Saccharomyces cerevisiae S288C: one gene and its partners. The gene in region 4 interacts genetically with the main gene of each other region. Each region holds a gene or a part of one and is shown on either strand. Other genes may lie near its edges.

Evidence for each region.
Region 1: mutations in MAD3 (region 4) and TUB4 impair growth when combined (synthetic growth defect), as found in Saccharomyces cerevisiae (2 studies listed by BioGRID, with this or other methods).
Region 2: mutations in MAD3 (region 4) and YPK3 together harm fitness more than expected from each alone (negative genetic interaction), as found in Saccharomyces cerevisiae (2 studies listed by BioGRID).
Region 3: of MAD3 (region 4) and KIP1, changing one suppresses a phenotype caused by changing the other (phenotypic suppression), as found in Saccharomyces cerevisiae (one study listed by BioGRID).

What each region holds. Positions count from the first base shown.
Region 1 is NC_001144.5:564,360-568,208, forward strand, and holds TUB4 (gamma-tubulin), read right to left. Parts: upstream 1,923-3,849; coding exon 501-1,922; downstream 1-500. Other genes in the region: ATG38 (Atg38p), read right to left, coding at 1-95, 155-172; CRR1 (putative glycosylase), read right to left, coding at 2,295-3,563. UniProt on the Saccharomyces cerevisiae protein: Tubulin is the major constituent of microtubules. The gamma chain is found at microtubule organizing centers (MTOC) such as the spindle poles or the centrosome, suggesting that it is involved in the minus-end nucleation of microtubule assembly.
Region 2 is NC_001134.8:293,847-297,972, forward strand, and holds YPK3 (putative protein kinase YPK3), read right to left. Parts: upstream 2,157-4,126; coding exon 579-2,156; downstream 1-578. Other genes in the region: ETR1 (enoyl-[acyl-carrier-protein] reductase), read right to left, coding at 1-173; YBR027C (uncharacterized protein), read right to left, coding at 178-510; CDS1 (phosphatidate cytidylyltransferase), read right to left, coding at 2,523-3,896. UniProt on the Saccharomyces cerevisiae protein: AGC kinase which plays a role in TOR complex 1 (TORC1) signaling pathway which mediates temporal control of cell growth in response to nutrients. Required for phosphorylation of ribosomal protein S6 (RPS6A/RPS6B) at 'Ser-232' and 'Ser-233'.
Region 3 is NC_001134.8:99,901-105,800, forward strand, and holds KIP1 (Kip1p), read left to right. Parts: upstream 1-1,985; coding exon 1,986-5,321; downstream 5,322-5,900. Other genes in the region: SEF1 (Sef1p), read right to left, coding at 1-215; thioredoxin peroxidase PRX1, read right to left, coding at 471-1,256; SKT5 (Skt5p), read right to left, coding at 5,416-5,900. UniProt on the Saccharomyces cerevisiae protein: Required for assembly of the mitotic spindle. Interacts with spindle microtubules to produce an outwardly directed force acting upon the poles. Following spindle assembly, CIN8 and KIP1 apparently act to oppose a force that draws separated poles back together.
Region 4 is NC_001142.9:408,950-412,906, forward strand, and holds MAD3 (Mad3p), read right to left. Parts: upstream 2,092-3,957; coding exon 544-2,091; downstream 1-543. Other genes in the region: chaperonin-containing T-complex subunit CCT3, read left to right, coding at 1-213; VTC4 (Vtc4p), read right to left, coding at 2,285-3,957.

The DNA of each region.
Region 1 (3,849 bases), on a different chromosome or scaffold from region 4:
CCTAAAACTTCAATGGCTTCTTGATACTTCGCTTTTGCATTTGTAAAATCTCCTTTTCGACATTCCTGTTCGGCGTCCTCAATAATAGTATAAACCTAATTCATGTTAGTCACCATGAACAAAAAAAAAGTGGGGGCATAATTCAAAAACTTACTTCCGCTAAAGTACTCATTCCATCACCAAGATTAGTATAACTGTCGTTGAATTATCGAACTAATCCGTGCAGCGATACAGATGTTTTTTATTTCAAACAGAGCGTTCCATTACGCTGAGTTGAATCATCTGGTTTTTCTACCCTTTAGGAAATTCTAAAGTTGAAGAGGCGCTATCGATGTATGCAATGATGAAAAAGTGGTACAGAGCTTTATACATATTACAATACAGTGCAGAATTTATAAAGGGAGATAATACATTTGAAGCGGTTGTTGGTATAGATATATTGAGAGTACTATAATAAAACTATTGGGCGGTGGTAAAATTCCTGAACAAGGAAGGCATCATTATACTAATTTATGATCACCGTCGGCATCCAGGTCCTCTTCCAACTCGCCAACCATATTTTCATCATCAACAAGTACATCGTCCAAGTACGAATCTTGTTCTGCAGCTACATAATCCTCCATCAGGCTTTGTACTACTTCTCTTGACTCGGCGAATTCATCTTGAACGTTCTGCATTGATTGGAACAAGTCGCCTACATTATAATTATTTAAAAATGCGCCCTTGGCAAATACTTTGTCAAAAGTATTGCACGCATTCTCAAAGACGTTCACCACGGTAGACATATTGCTTAACATCATGCCGCTAACTTCGTTTTCATTTGGTTGTAAAGGCAAGTATGGCGATCTTCTTCCAATGTTAACGTGCATCGCAGAAGAGGACCATGAGGGGAATTTGATGCGTTGTTGTAATTTGGTCATAGCACGCGATATCTGACGAGGTTCTACATTACCAATGATTGTATTATAAACGTTAAAATATGTTGGATTGTTCATCGCGGTAGAGACAAGAGAATTGGAAGGGTCTAATAAATCTAACATGACGTCATAACTGGAATGGCCTTTATGCGCTATATCATCGTGAATATAATCTGATGTAAATGGAGTGAAACTAGGGCTTAGGAAATGAAGTTCAGGAGAAGGAATCAAGGTAGAGTAAATACTGGACATGGATGAATACATGTAACTCGGAAACCGTATACTGTTCGTTACTGAAGATATTATGGTCGATATCAATTGATTCGTGTGTTGTAAATCGATGTTCGGATTTCTAAACACTTTACCGGAAATATTCAGCAACGAAGCGTTATCAAACACCACCGTTGCATCGCTATCTTCTATCAGTCTTCTCAAAGCCAGAATAGTGTTATAAGATTGAACAACAACCTCAGAAGATCTTGCAGGGAACACAGAATATGTCGTGAGTATTTTTTTAGGATATCGATCACACAGCGCTTCTAAGAGGTTGGATCCGAGCCCTGAACCGGTCCCTCCGGCTACTGAGTGCAGCAACTGGAAACCTTCGAAATTGTCGGTAGAATCAATCTCCTTGTCGATCTTGTTAAGAATATCATCCTGGTTACGAGTTCCTATATCATACCCATTGGCCCAAGAATTACCAGCGCTAGCGCCATCAGAAGCTACCCAGGTATTTCTTGGGTCGAAAAACCCACGAAATGTGTTCTCCACGTCGGCGATGACACTAGGCTCGGAATCCATCATAATAGCCCTTGGCGTAAACTTATTCCTACTGTTTTCGCGGAAGAAAGGCTTTGTGTCATCATCTCTTTCCGTACTGGAATCAGGAAGCTGAGATAGCCCATCGGTGCCTATAGCGTGTTCTTTCGCCAATTGAGACCAGAGAAACTTACCAACGTGGTTCCCGCATTGACCTGCTTGCAAAGTAATAATTTCTCCACCCATAGATAGTTATATGTTGAATTCTTATACATGTGACTAACCGATATTACGCATTTGTTCATTTCGCAGCTACTGTTACGATTATTATTTATTACATTTAATGAAATTTCCCAAAAGATAATATTAACGCGTTCTGTTACCCGGTGATATTTTCTGAATGTCAGGGTAACAAAGAGAGAACGTTATAATGGGAGAATAGTAAATATTTGCTTTAGGAAATTAGTAATAATTGCAATGCGGAAAATAGGTGCATTTTGTGTTTCTTGAAAGGTTTGAACTAAAGAATGTATACATATATATTAGAGCGTGCCTTCATGCAGGGAATTAGAGGATCCGTTACGGAAGAGAGAACTTCGTAAGACATTATTGCTGTGACTATTTTGACCGTTTCCAAGAACTCAACCAGTCATTTATCTTTGGAGTAACAAAGCAGTCCCATTTGAGAGACCCCTCATCATGATGATTCAGTCTGTCTTGCCTGTTATACGAAACGACTACTCTTGACAAATCTTTTTGGGAAAAGGTTGGTGCCTTTTTCTTTGCCTTTATACAAAACTGCACTTGTTCTGTGAATTTATTTTGGTACGGCGTTACGGTGATTTGTTCAACATGCGCCGTAAATTGGCCCTTTTCGATAATATCGGGTGAATTTTCCCAATCTATGAGGCCACCTGCCCAGTTTATTGTACCGGGTCCGTTGGTTTCCGAGCCGCCTGGCCAAACAGCGATTTCTAGTCTCATCGGCGTTTGTGGGTACCTATATTCTTTACTAATGGGGTCCCAGGTATCCTTCTTCAGGACTGTGCGAGCTATTTTACCATCAACATACCATATTATCCTATCCGGGTCCCAATCAATCTCATAAGTGTGGTAAGTGGCCCAAGTGTCAGCGCCTACGGGAAATCTTTGCATTCTTGTGTAATCCAAATGCCCTTGAGAATAGTAGTTTGATTGGGCCGTCATTAAATCACCACCCAGCCACTCAAAATCAATCTCGTCCCCAATTGCGGATGTTAAGTCAAATGCAGTCACCACACCCCTCGACCTCGCCGTTTTCATTCGCACGCTTGCCTTGCCGTATAGAAACGACCTGGTCGATGTGATCAAACTTCCGGTAGTTTTTTTTGGCATAGCCAGAACAATATTCCCGCTACTCGCTTCAATTGATGTGTAGCCGCTATGTGTGAAATCGAAATCTTCCAACATTTTCTCTGCCTCTTTACTGTCTGGAGTGACCAAGAATTTGGCGTAGTGTATGATTCTCTTGGAATTTAGCTCCCCTTCTACTACACCCACCTTGGTATTTGCCTTATTCGGTCCATTTCCCTCTCTTATTGGTGGCTTAGGTTGATAGTTCACAATAAATTTAGGAACCTTTGGTGTGCTAACAAATTCAAGTTTTTGACTGGCGACTAATGCAGGTATAGGAGCACAGCTTTCCTCGTCGAAAGATGACCTCACGTTGCAGCCACCGACACATATCGGTCCAGCGCCACATTCATTATACGGCGAGCAGCACGGCCATTCTGCGGGACAAGGGTTATTTGGAGAACAAGAAATGGAGTTTTTGGGTTTGTATAATTCTCCCAGTGCAAATCCGATGTAGCCAACAACCGGCACCAGCTGTAATATTGATATTCTCATATTTTTATTTCGTGCAAAAGCCCTTGATGATACTCTAAACTAAACGACTGTTCTTGTATTTCGTTATTAATCGATAATTATTAGCTGGTATTGTCTTTTTTTTTTTTTTCCTACATGATCGTCGCGAGGCTTTACATAATTTTTGTGACGCCTTTAAAAGTATAGTAGAACGAGCACATAAGAAGTAAATGAAAAGTACGGCAGATGCAATTGACAGTAAAGAGCGGTACAATAGTTGAAGAATACCCGATAAAAATGTATTTAGGTTGCTTGACGGGTTTGCAGC
Region 2 (4,126 bases), on a different chromosome or scaffold from region 4:
GCCAAAGTTTTTAACACAATTGATTGAGATAAGTCTTGTTTAGGCGTATAATTTTTCACTGACAAAACCTTGGTACAATCCTCAACTTCATGAGTTGAATAGATGAGCGATTTGAAGTGCTTGGGAATCTGATGAGCTGAGGACGACATGTAACGTTTGAATGTGGGAAGCATCTTGTTATATCAAATGTAATTGGCAGATTATGAACCTTCTTAAATGACAATGTACGTTTGTAATCTCCAATTTCTTTAGCCATGGAAACAACCCCTGGGTACACCACTCGTGCGTCCCTTGGAGGAGAACCACTCTTTTAAGGTAAAAAAAAAAGCACCGGCGGGGTCCAATAATGATAATAATACCATAAATAAGGAAGATGGTATCACCGATTGGTCCAGAAGTATTATCCATACAGTTGTTTTTAATATTATTACATACATTATATATTAAAAATGTGTTTCGTAACCCTAAAGCAAAACAAAGTATATACAGTGACACAGATCCTTTAAACATCAAAAAAACAAAAAAAAGTAAGTCAGTGCAGATCCGAGCCTTCTCTCTTAATCTATCTAACTTTTAATTCAAAAGTACTTCTCCAAATAGCTACCACTTGCTTTATAACTAAATCCCTTGAACATATCCGGGGACTTGCTCACCGAATTGATATTAATCGGCTTGCTATCCGTATAGGTTTCCTCATATGACATAGAAGTAAATTCTGTGTCAAAATTTTCCGCTAGTTCCAAATCCGTAATAACTGGAACAATTGGGCCTAGAGTGGTTTTTTGCAATTGTCCAGATTCTAATAACTTCCAGTCTATTTTTCTAAAGATAAAATGTTCAGTGAAAAGACTAGTTCTTGCAGCCCCTGATTTCTTCTTCTTAGACTTAGTAGGCTTATTATTAGCCCCGGTTTTGGCCCAGTATTTGTCAACATTCCACCTTTTGGCAGTTTCCTTCTTCAACAGCGCGTTTAATATATCTTTCATTCCCTCGCTCAGATAAAATGGAATTTTGGGGCCTTGCTTGTTTTGTTGAATCTTATTAATGATCACCTTATGATTGCTACCAGTATATGGAGGCTTACCTACTAACATGTCATACAACAGACATCCCAAAGAATACCAATCACAATTCTGACTGTAAGCTTTACCTAATAATATTTCAGGCGCACAGTATTCAGGCGTACCGATAATCGAGTATAGGGCATTGACGTTCTCTGGATCCTCCTCATCAACCGCGGAATCATTAGCACTTTTTTTACTCAGACCAAAATCTGTCAATACTAAATGTCCACGTTGATTCAATAAACAGTTTTCAGGTTTTAAATCTCTATAGACAACACCTTTCGTATGCAAAAATCTCAAGGCACAGCTGATTTCTGCCGCGTAAAACGAAACTGTCGTCTCATCTAGGGTCCCGTGTTCCTTCAAGTGGTAAAATAGTTCACCGCCAGGGATATATTGTAGCAGTAAATATAACTTTGAGTTATCGTGAAAAGAATAAAATAACTTGACAATGTTTGGATGTTCTATTTCAGATAGAATAGACCGTTCGGCAAATGTTCTCTCAAGCCTCTTTGATAATCCATCGTCATTATCGTTGTTATTACCATCATTTTTATCTTCGTCTTCTCTCTTGGAATCTGTGGCTGTTTGAGAAATTAAAATTTCTGCTTTCCGTAATTGCTTCATAGCATACAGCTTGGATGTATTGACGTCCTTAACAAGAAGAACTTTACCGTAGGCACCTTGGCCTAGGACTCTCACGGGCTTAAAATCGTGCAGGTTCCTTGATAATTCATTTTCTCCAATATTAGAGGAAATAATGTCCTGAGGTGTTATGGATAGTCTATTCGTATTAGTTCGCATTGCGTCCGAACCTGTAATAGAAAATCTTCTCGTATTTGGTGGAGTGAGAATAGGGAATTTGGAATAAGCTGAGGACCTTCTTCTCATCCTATGTGCAGGACTCATGCCATTTAGCGGAATCGCATTTGAATGAACCGAGAGGTGATTTATACTCTCCTCATATGTGATGGAGCTGCCTTGTTCATGATTGATATCATTGTATATTGCCGAGGAATAATCTACTTTAATGTCATTCTTTTTATCATCTAGTGACACACGATGAAGTTCTTCATCTAGTGAGAAAATCATCCTAATTACTGCCAACAGTATGCTCAGCTAGATTGGTTGATGAAAAATCTTATCATAGGGCACCTTCCAGGTAAAAGATCTACTTACTATTAGTCAGTACGTCCTTTTTTCATTTGTTTATAATTTTTTTTTTTTTTTTTTTTTTCTCCTCTCAATATTTTAGAAGTAACATGACAGAGCAACACGTTTATTTTCCTACATATAGTCATAAGTATAAAAACGAGCGAGAAATTTTGTTAAAGAATTGATATCATATTTTATAATTTACATAAACTAAATAGGGAAAGAGTAGTATAGCGTGCATAAGTTTGAAAAAAAAAAACTATTCATACACTCATATATACTTTTATATGGTCTTTTTTATATTCAAGAGTGATTGGTCAATGATTTCTTGGTCACATTAAAGATGTCAGCCAACTTTTCAAAATTCTTCGCTGATATTATACCTTTTTTAGATAGGAATCTAATCAAGATATCAATCAATTCTATAATCTGCTTGTCGTTCAGGTTCATTAAAATAGTGGATAAAACTGTATCTACTGTTATTCTGTGTTCGCTGATGAATGTTTCATAGTACAAATTGGCAAAAGAACCCATTATGAATTGGCAATCAACCCTGTCTGTGATACCACCATGGCCTGGGATGGAGTGGCCAAAGTCTTTAACTTTAAAAGTTCTCTTTAGACCAGATGCGAAAAAGCCTCCAAATGGCGCAAATAATGATGCAAAGGTAGCTAAGTTTAAAGCATGGAAATAAATTGGTTTTACTGTAATTGAATTGATTTGAACTTTATCGAAAAAGATGGGTGGAAGTCTGTAAACTTGTGGAAGGAAAACTGGGTTTAGTTCACATGTCAAATTAGAGAAAAAATTGGTATGGAGATCTTCAACAGGGCACGTCAAGTAAGTATAAGGGCTCAGAATCCTTGTTAATATAATACTAGCTAGAGCAGTGAAAAACCAGGCACCAAGGAAACCTTCTAAAGTTTTCTTGGGCGAGATTTCTATTAGTTTAGTCTTACCGAATGTAATGCCGCACAGGTAGGCGAAGATATCATTAACAATTACCAACCCGCATGGTAATAAGAACCAGAATAGCCCATTGAGCACGTTTTTGATGATCAAATGAGCCTGAAATACTACCAGAAGAAGAACCATATGAGTAACGCACAATGATCCGAACTGGAATTTCAAAAATCCCTTTCTTAAACTACAAACGAACAGAACAAATCCCATAAGATAGAGACAATAGCAGATAAACTTATGATTTGTTACGATAAAGTTCAATACAGGATACTCGTAAAAAGTAGCTTGGAAAAACTTGAAGAGTGATTTCCCATCTAAGTAATAGATAGTGGTGAAGAGAAGGTACCAGTTCAACGTCTTTGTCAATGGCAAATTCTTTTCGCGACCAGATGCACTTGTTACGGCAATACACTCTTTAAAAGTAGCAATTTGGCAGCCCAAAATCAGCACTATACACCATGCATGACCCGATGCTAAGGTGATGAAGAAACCACTGATCATAACAAACGTCCAAACTGTTCTAATGAAAAAGTTGTATTTCCTGCTTTCCTTTGTAGCAGCAGTGCTTTCCTTGGTCACCGGCGTGACGGATTCGCTGGCGTCCTTGTGGAGTTCTTCTTGCAATTTATCAATCGCCTTTGAGGTGGCGTCAGTAACCGACTCCACAATCTCCTTGCTCGTACCATGTGGTTTCATCTCAGGGTTGTCAGACATTTTAGGTATATGGAAGTGGAACAGTTAAGTATGACAGGTTCGCTGTTTGGGAAGATACTTGGCAAGAAGTGCGTCTTCACAATCTGGCTTACACTAAATAACAATATTGATGAATGCTCCCCCATGCTGTTTACAGTTCTCGATTGTTACACTTTTCACATGTCATCCCATCTGAAAAATTTTCAAGAAGGGTATCCGTTGATAATGACTGTCAAATACATAGCGATATA
Region 3 (5,900 bases), on a different chromosome or scaffold from region 4:
TTTTGACTAGCATCGCATTTGATTTTGTGCTGTCTACAATGTGTACATGAGGTAACTGGTCTATGGTTGATTTGATGACTGTCATCATGGTGAGATATTCGTTGTTTCTTACTTGGGAACTGGTGCTGTTGCAACTGTTGCTGCTCCGGTTGTCTTTTCATGTGAGCAGAACTAAAATCTTGGTCTTGGTCAGAATCTCGATTATCCTTCACCATGACGAGAATGCGTATACGCAGAGCCAATATAATCTGTATACGGGACCTTTGACATTAAGGTTTCTGCAGAGAGTTTATTACATGCATTTTCATATATATATTTTTAACGCCATTCCTTTACGGTATGTAAAGAAAAATGATCCAATGAGCGGCCCTTCGTACGAGATGAGATATAATAAGAATGAAAGATAGATAAAAGTTTTAGTTAGAGATACTTCATATACCTGTATATAGTAAAGTCGTTTATTTCAAAGCTTATTTCGACTTGGTGAATCTTAAATAGGGTTTAATTTCATTAAATTGACCAAATTTAGCCTTCGCCTCATCATTGGAGACAGAGGGAGGAATAATGACATCGTCAGCTGGCTGCCAATTAATTGGAGTTACTACGCCCTCCTTGTCAGTCAATTGCAAGGCGTCGATTACCCTTAACACTTCAGAAGTGTTTCTTCCGACGGTGGAAGGGTAGGTAAAAATCAGTCTAATCTTCTTCTTGGGATCGATGACGAAAACAGACCTCACGGTCTTCAGTGACCCATCATTGATATTTTTGAATCCTTCGGCATCTACCATATCATATAGGAATGCCACGTTTCTAAAAGTGTCACCAATTATTGGGAAACCAACATTTTTAACCTTTGCTATTTCCTTGATGTCTTGAATCCATTTTTCGTGGGACTCAACATCTTCCACTGAAAGCCCGATCAATTTAACATTTCTCTTGTCGAATTCCGGCTTCAATTTGGCGAATGCGCTGACTTCGGTGGTGCAGACAGGGGTGAAATCTGCTGGGTGAGAAAACAAGACCCCCCAAGAGTCGCCCAAGTAGTCGTAAAAATTGATTTTACCAACCGTTGTGTCAGCATCAAAGTTAGGAGCATCAGAGTTTATTCTTAGTCTTGGTTGATCACTTTGTTTGAATTGTTTGCACAGAATAGGTGCTGTGGCAAATGTTTTAATCGTCTGTGATTGCAAGTGAGCCTGCTTAGGAAGGGTCCATGCCGTCCTCTTTAATTGAGCGCTACAAATTCTACTAAACATCCTTTGCTTCCTGCTTCTTTGAAATTTATCTCATCCTACTGCGAGAATCTAGAAGCACAATTTTCTATATCTCTCCTTCTCTCTTTATATACCAATAGCAGCAACATCCGGCCCCTTGTTTCTTTACGTAATTAAAAATCTCCGGGGCTAGCTTTTGCCGGGGAACCCATCCCGAAAAAATTGCAAAAAAAAAAATAGCCGCCGACCGTTGGTCGCTATTCACGGAATGATAGAAAAATAGCCGCGCTGCTCGTCCTGGGTGACCTTTTGTATATTGTATAAAGATAAACATAGTGCTATCAGGAATATCTTTATATACACACGCATACTGAATGTGGTTGAAGTTCAAAAAATATCACAAACGTTAAGAAGTTTTACTGGTAAACATATAGACATAGTGGAGCGCTTGCTCGAGGTCAAATGCAGACGGATACGAGAGCGCGGGAGGGAAACCGGAGAAGGTCAATATGCCCATAATTCTTCTTCTTTGAGGTTGGCAATTATATATTGTATCTGAATTAGGCAAATAGAAAAGAGACCTTACCATTAGCGCCATCGTAGAGTCCCATTTCACCTTTTCTTAGTTCTTTATATATGTCTGCGTATGGCCCACATATGCGCGCACAGTGCGCGCCACCCTCTAAGAACGATAAACATAAAATAAACACATAAACAATCAACGACAGTTCGCGCTTCCCTCACTAAATATGGCGAGATAGTTAAACAATCATGGCTCGTTCTTCCTTGCCCAACCGCCGCACCGCCCAGTTCGAAGCGAACAAGAGGAGGACCATTGCACATGCTCCATCTCCAAGTCTTTCAAATGGGATGCACACTCTAACGCCGCCCACCTGTAACAATGGTGCTGCCACTTCAGACTCCAATATACATGTATATGTAAGGTGCAGATCGCGTAATAAGCGAGAAATAGAGGAAAAAAGTAGTGTAGTTATATCTACACTAGGCCCACAAGGGAAAGAAATCATTCTGTCCAACGGTTCTCACCAATCGTATTCGTCCTCGAAGAAAACTTACCAATTTGATCAGGTGTTCGGCGCAGAATCTGACCAGGAAACAGTGTTTAATGCCACTGCAAAAAACTACATTAAGGAAATGTTGCACGGGTACAATTGTACAATATTTGCATACGGTCAAACGGGAACAGGTAAAACCTACACTATGTCTGGCGATATAAATATTCTCGGTGATGTGCAATCTACCGATAATCTATTATTAGGAGAGCATGCAGGTATCATACCACGGGTTCTGGTCGATTTGTTTAAAGAATTGAGCTCCTTAAATAAAGAGTACTCCGTAAAAATATCCTTTTTAGAGTTGTACAATGAAAATTTGAAAGATCTGCTCTCTGATAGTGAGGACGATGATCCTGCAGTCAACGATCCCAAGAGGCAGATTCGTATTTTTGACAATAACAACAATAATTCATCCATCATGGTCAAGGGGATGCAGGAAATCTTTATTAACTCTGCACACGAAGGCTTGAATTTGCTAATGCAGGGTTCGTTAAAAAGGAAAGTGGCCGCTACTAAATGCAACGATCTTTCATCAAGGTCTCACACCGTCTTTACAATCACAACAAACATAGTTGAGCAAGATAGCAAAGACCATGGACAAAACAAAAATTTTGTTAAAATTGGCAAATTGAATTTGGTGGATTTGGCAGGCAGTGAAAACATCAACAGATCGGGTGCGGAGAATAAAAGGGCTCAAGAAGCTGGCCTAATAAACAAATCGCTGCTAACACTAGGCCGTGTTATCAACGCACTCGTTGATCATTCTAACCATATACCTTACAGAGAATCTAAGCTAACAAGATTGCTACAAGACTCTTTAGGTGGTATGACGAAAACATGCATTATCGCAACTATATCACCTGCGAAAATATCCATGGAAGAGACTGCAAGTACGCTAGAATATGCAACGAGAGCCAAATCAATTAAGAATACTCCACAAGTAAATCAGTCTTTATCGAAGGATACATGTCTCAAAGACTACATTCAAGAGATTGAAAAATTAAGAAATGATTTGAAAAATTCAAGAAACAAACAAGGTATATTTATAACTCAAGATCAGTTGGACCTTTACGAGAGCAATTCTATCTTGATTGATGAGCAAAATCTAAAAATACATAACCTGCGAGAACAAATTAAAAAATTCAAAGAAAACTACCTGAACCAATTAGATATCAATAATCTTTTACAGTCTGAAAAGGAAAAACTAATTGCCATAATACAGAATTTTAATGTCGATTTTTCTAACTTTTACTCGGAAATCCAAAAAATTCACCATACTAATCTCGAACTAATGAATGAAGTCATACAACAGAGAGATTTTTCACTAGAAAATTCTCAAAAACAGTATAATACGAACCAGAACATGCAATTAAAAATCTCTCAACAAGTTTTACAGACTTTGAACACTTTACAGGGCTCTTTAAATAATTATAACTCTAAATGTTCCGAAGTTATCAAAGGCGTCACCGAAGAACTAACCAGGAACGTAAATACCCATAAGGCGAAACACGATTCTACTCTCAAATCGTTATTAAACATTACTACTAACTTATTGATGAATCAGATGAACGAACTGGTGCGTAGTATTTCGACTTCATTGGAAATATTTCAGAGTGATTCTACTTCTCACTATCGTAAAGATTTGAATGAAATCTACCAATCACATCAACAATTTCTAAAAAATTTACAAAACGATATTAAAAGCTGTCTTGATTCGATAGGCAGTTCAATTCTAACTTCCATAAACGAAATATCGCAAAATTGCACCACTAACTTGAATAGTATGAATGTTTTAATAGAAAACCAGCAGTCAGGATCATCGAAATTAATTAAAGAGCAAGATTTAGAAATAAAAAAACTGAAAAACGATCTGATCAATGAGCGCAGGATTTCTAACCAATTCAACCAACAGTTGGCTGAAATGAAGCGATATTTTCAGGATCACGTTTCCAGGACGCGTAGTGAATTCCACGACGAACTTAACAAATGTATCGATAACCTAAAAGATAAACAATCTAAGTTGGATCAAGATATCTGGCAGAAGACGGCCTCTATTTTCAACGAAACAGATATCGTAGTTAATAAAATTCATTCCGACTCAATAGCATCCCTCGCTCATAATGCTGAAAACACTTTGAAAACGGTTTCTCAGAACAATGAAAGCTTTACTAACGATTTAATCAGTCTATCACGCGGAATGAACATGGACATATCCTCCAAACTGAGAAGTTTGCCCATCAATGAATTTTTAAACAAGATATCACAAACCATTTGTGAAACCTGTGGCGATGATAACACAATCGCATCAAATCCAGTATTGACCTCTATTAAAAAATTTCAAAATATAATTTGTTCAGACATTGCCCTAACAAATGAGAAGATCATGTCATTAATAGATGAAATACAATCACAAATTGAAACCATATCTAATGAAAACAATATCAATTTGATTGCAATAAATGAAAATTTTAATTCTTTGTGCAATTTTATATTAACTGATTACGATGAGAATATTATGCAAATCTCAAAAACACAAGATGAGGTGCTTTCTGAACATTGCGAGAAGCTACAATCACTGAAAATACTGGGTATGGACATTTTCACTGCTCACAGCATAGAAAAACCCCTTCATGAGCATACAAGACCTGAAGCGTCAGTAATCAAGGCTTTACCCTTATTGGATTATCCAAAACAATTTCAGATTTATAGGGATGCTGAAAATAAGAGCAAAGACGACACATCTAATTCTCGTACTTGTATACCAAACTTGTCAACTAATGAAAATTTTCCTCTTTCACAATTCAGTCCAAAAACCCCAGTGCCAGTGCCTGATCAACCTCTACCAAAAGTTCTTATACCGAAAAGCATAAACTCGGCCAAGTCCAATAGATCAAAGACCTTACCAAATACAGAGGGTACTGGACGAGAATCGCAGAACAATTTGAAGAGAAGATTTACCACCGAGCCAATATTGAAGGGAGAAGAAACTGAAAATAATGACATACTGCAAAATAAAAAACTTCATCAATAAGGGGATATAGCCATTGTAAAATATTTGTATCACTATATGCATTGAGTGTAAACTGTTGCACCTATAAAGAATGAAAACAATCTAGTATGTGTACTTACATAATTACACAGTCTTTTTTTTTTTTACCTTGTTTATCCTTCTTGTTCTTCAAGCTTGTAGGTTTTTTTGACTCAGTTTTTACTGCAGGAAAATCTTTACGAATCATGTTTGAACTGCCCATATTTGATAAACTAACTTCTTGCTTTGCTGCCATCGACTGCTCAGCAACTTCCCTTGACATTCCCTTTGCTGAGGAAGAACTTTTCCTGATGCTTGTATCAGAACCCGTTTTAATACCATTTCTATTCGTGTTTGAATTCATGTTAATTTGCAAACCTTGTGGCTCACGATCACGTTTTGGATTTCCAGTAAAGAATGTTTCAGATTTTGAAGAAACTCTTGAATTTGACCCTACGTTACTTGTTTGACTGTCCACAGTAGAGAATAAATTCAAAGTACTGATACTTTTATTTTTTTTATGCTGTTTTTTACCAATGCTGGCTAGTCCACCGTCCCTTGAGCGTAGCTTATTAATCGCCC
Region 4 (3,957 bases):
ATTAGACTCCTATCCCAACTAAGAGCCAAACACGCACAGGGAAATTTTACAACAGGTATTGATGGTGACAAGGGGAAAATTGTAGATATGGTTAGTTACGGTATTTGGGAACCTGAAGTCATCAAGCAGCAAAGTGTCAAAACCGCTATTGAAAGTGCATGTTTACTATTAAGGGTTGATGATATTGTTAGTGGTGTAAGAAAACAAGAATAATAGCCTCGAGGTTAAACTTCATTACTGCCGTTTAATATTTGGTGTTTCTTCACATTTTTTTGTTTTTTTATACTATTGTAATGTATTTATATAGAATTAAAGTCCTCACTATAATTTTGTCATCCCTACAGTATGTCATAAGCGTTAATCGGACAAACGTTCATTTTAAAATTGGCCTTTTTATATTTATATTACTCCTCATAGGATTTAATATAGAAGTATCATTCGTTAAATAATCATTATATCATCTGTGCTTTAAATAAAAAAGTCGGCCGTCGATGTGTTTACGATTGGCCAGTATACTTACTCATTCATGGGATTAGTTTTATTTCAACGCTGTGGTGGGTACGATATGAAAGACGAACTCGACTTGTCATCATCTGAAATGATCTCAGAATTTTTGCTTTGAGAAAAAGAATTTGATTCTCTCATTTCTAAAATTGGGGTTAACTGCCGCGGCTTGACAGCTGAGATGATATCAGACGTCTCAGTGCTTCGTCCCTTTGGCGTCATAGGGCAGTTTATGTACTCTTCGCCAGAAAACATTCTTCCCTGGTTTGAGGGGGTCAACGACTTGGAGACTAAGGCTTTTCTACTTATTTTTGGTCTTTTCGATTGTGCTTCAGCTTCTTTTTGATTTGCGCTTTCTTCTTGCCCTAAATTTGCTTCTCTTGGATGTTTCCTATTTGTCCTAACCCTTTTATAAACGTTTCTAGAAATTGCCAAGACTTCTTCTAGCGAAAATTCTAGTCTACCACCTTTAGATTCCTCATCTTCACAATAAATCAGTTTAAAATTACAGTCAATTTTTTCTGGTTTCTGGTCCTTTGTATTAATCATTTGATAAACAGGGTCACTTCTACCTATAGAATCTCTAAAGATCGGTAGTTTTTCATCATATGGTCTCTTTTTTTGCGATAACATCTCATGTTGTTTAAGCTCACCCAAATTGGTATTTGCTTCTAGCAATGATATTCGAAGGTTGTTTTCTTTGTTCCTTTCTGCCTTTAAGTCAAAATTTTCCCAGCCATCTCTATAAACACCTCTATTCGGAGTTTCGAATAGTTCTACATCAGACTCTTCTCCATCTACAAATACGTTGTTTTTTGTTAAATTGACGTCACTTGATGTGCCATTTTGATTTGCAAGCTCTAGTCTATTGACAAATTCAGATCTGGTTTTCCCAAGTACTGTAGACTCTAATGAGTCCATCGATATTTCATTTCCTAGCTGAATATTGTTCTCCCCCAGTTCTCTCAGGAGATGGTTTAACCGGTCTTCTAAAACCTTATTAGGCCTAGCCTTATTTTTGATTCCTAGCTGTAGAATTTTCACGGCATATTGAAATTTTTCTTTCTGAATTAATAGATTCGTAAATTCTTCATAAAATGACGCTAACTCGGAACCAATTCCATTTCTTAACATATACATGAAAATGTCTCTGCTTTCCATGAATGAATTTCTGGTAAAAAGTTCTATGTACCAAAACCATATTTTAAGAAACCTAACATCATTGCGATATCTCTCCAAATCCTTTAAGTGAGATAAACATCGCTCCAAAAGGGTGAGCATTCCAGATTGTTTGGAATTACCGCCTTGTGGATAGGCGTTGTTCAGCCACTTTATGTATTCAAGATACAAAGTAATTGGGTCGCTTAATGCAGGGAGCTCATCTATCAGTCTTTGTTCGAAGCTTGATTTAACTTGGTTTATTTCCACCAGTGGTTGATGTATCGCTTTCGAGAGTGCCGCTGCTGATCTGCCTTCCTTCAGGGGAAGAATGTTTTCTTTTTGAGTTTCGATTTCTTCAAAGTTAATAACATTTTGTGATGGTGACGATGGCATGTAAGAGATACGTTTCTTTGCGTACGCTTTCATTCTATCAAGTTAACGTCTTTTATTGTATTTTCGCATGATTTTGTTTACTATTTTTGAACCAGTGTGCGCCTGGTGAAGGTGTGCATTTCAGGCAAGAGGGTAGTTCTCATATATAAAAAAATGGCGCTAAAGAAATTATTATATCTAATATGATTATTACTTAATTATACAGTAAAAAAAACACGCTGTGTATTCATTTAGCAACTAGGTTGCAGAAAAAGGAAAATAAAATAGAGAGAATTAGAAACACAGAAACCATGCCGGGCCCGATCTTATCCTCATAATCTACTGCTCTCTTTAGTCTAATGTTTACCACTCTCTTGGCATAAACCATAACAGTACGTATCAACACAGCCAAGGAAGTAATAAAGAACCCAATGGAGCCAATCATGGCTGTTGGTGAACCATATGTTAATAAAGTAGTGGAGACACCGCCCAACAATATCGAGATGGACAACCAAGACAGGTAGGTTCTTTCAGTGGCAAAGTAAACTTTTGGTTCCACACGAACTGGCACACATATCGTCTTTCCCGGTGGGGCACGAATTTGAGTATCAAAAGTAGTACCTTTTGGGATTTTAGATATTTGATCACCGTTAAAATAGTGGTCAAAAAATGCCACGATTTCATAGTATTTCTTGGAGATAGGATTTTCGGCATTCCTGATCTTTCTTTGATAATAAGCAGCATTAGCACTCTCAACAACATGATTAGTGTTGGAGGTGGGGGCCGAAGTAGCCCCGTAACCAACAGATTCTTCTATATCAAGAGAATTACCGGGTGCGTTTGTCATGGCAGCAACCAAAGCAGCGTCATCCTCATCATCCTCATCGAAGTCGTTATCTTCGTTATCGGATCTACCGGGTCTTGTTATTTCAATATTTGTTGGTAGTGGAGGTTTCCTGATATCAACATCCATTTGAGGTAACCAAAATGGGATTGAATCCACTTTATCATTTAGTAAGGTAGCCACACCATGAATAAACTTGGAGAATTTTGGGACTGGCTCAACTAAGTGAGACCCGACTAATTCACGTACCCACTCTGGAGGTTCTTGACCTAGTTGAGTTTGCAATTTAACTTCCAGGACTGCATATGGGAAACGGCAAATATCCTTGTCATCTAGCTGCTTGAATGGCCAATCGACACCAATATCAGTTCTCCTCCAATTCTTATGAGTTCTATCCACACCATCAAAGTTGTCTTCTCTCACCATAGTTAACTCTGTATCAAGGGAGATACGAACTCTTGCATCACCAGGTAATTGAAAAGCAGTTCTATTGTAGAATGATCTCACTACAGGTCTCAACTTTTTCTTTAACATGACGTATTGAATTTCGGATGCTAACGCCTCCAAGTTTTCAATTTCGTTCATTGGCTTCTTGCCTTCTTTACGCATCTTGGCAAATACTTGATCAACAGTATATTTACCCTTTAAGAAGTCATTAACATGACGTTCCTTTAGCGCAAATCTTGCCTTGACAGATTTCTCACCAGTCCAATCCTCTCTATGGGTCTTTCTTTCTACAAAGATCGTGTCTGTAGACATACCCCCATACCATCTCAATCTGTGGGCTTCTGCACCTTCATCTTTTCTTAATCTGCCATAATAAAGGTCTAGATTTTCATTATCAAAATAGATCGAAGTAATAGCGGAATCTTCTCTTTCGAATTCCTTATTAGTGTTGAAGACTAACACTGGTAAATGCTTCAAGATGATCAGCTTCAATTCTGTAATGTTATCAGGGTGAACCCAATACTTTGTTGTCTGTCTAACGAAATTTTGTTGCTTCCCACCAGCAGATGAGTCTCCCTTGATTGGGCGACCTGAAGTTCTGGCAATATCATATAGTTGGGAAATTTTAA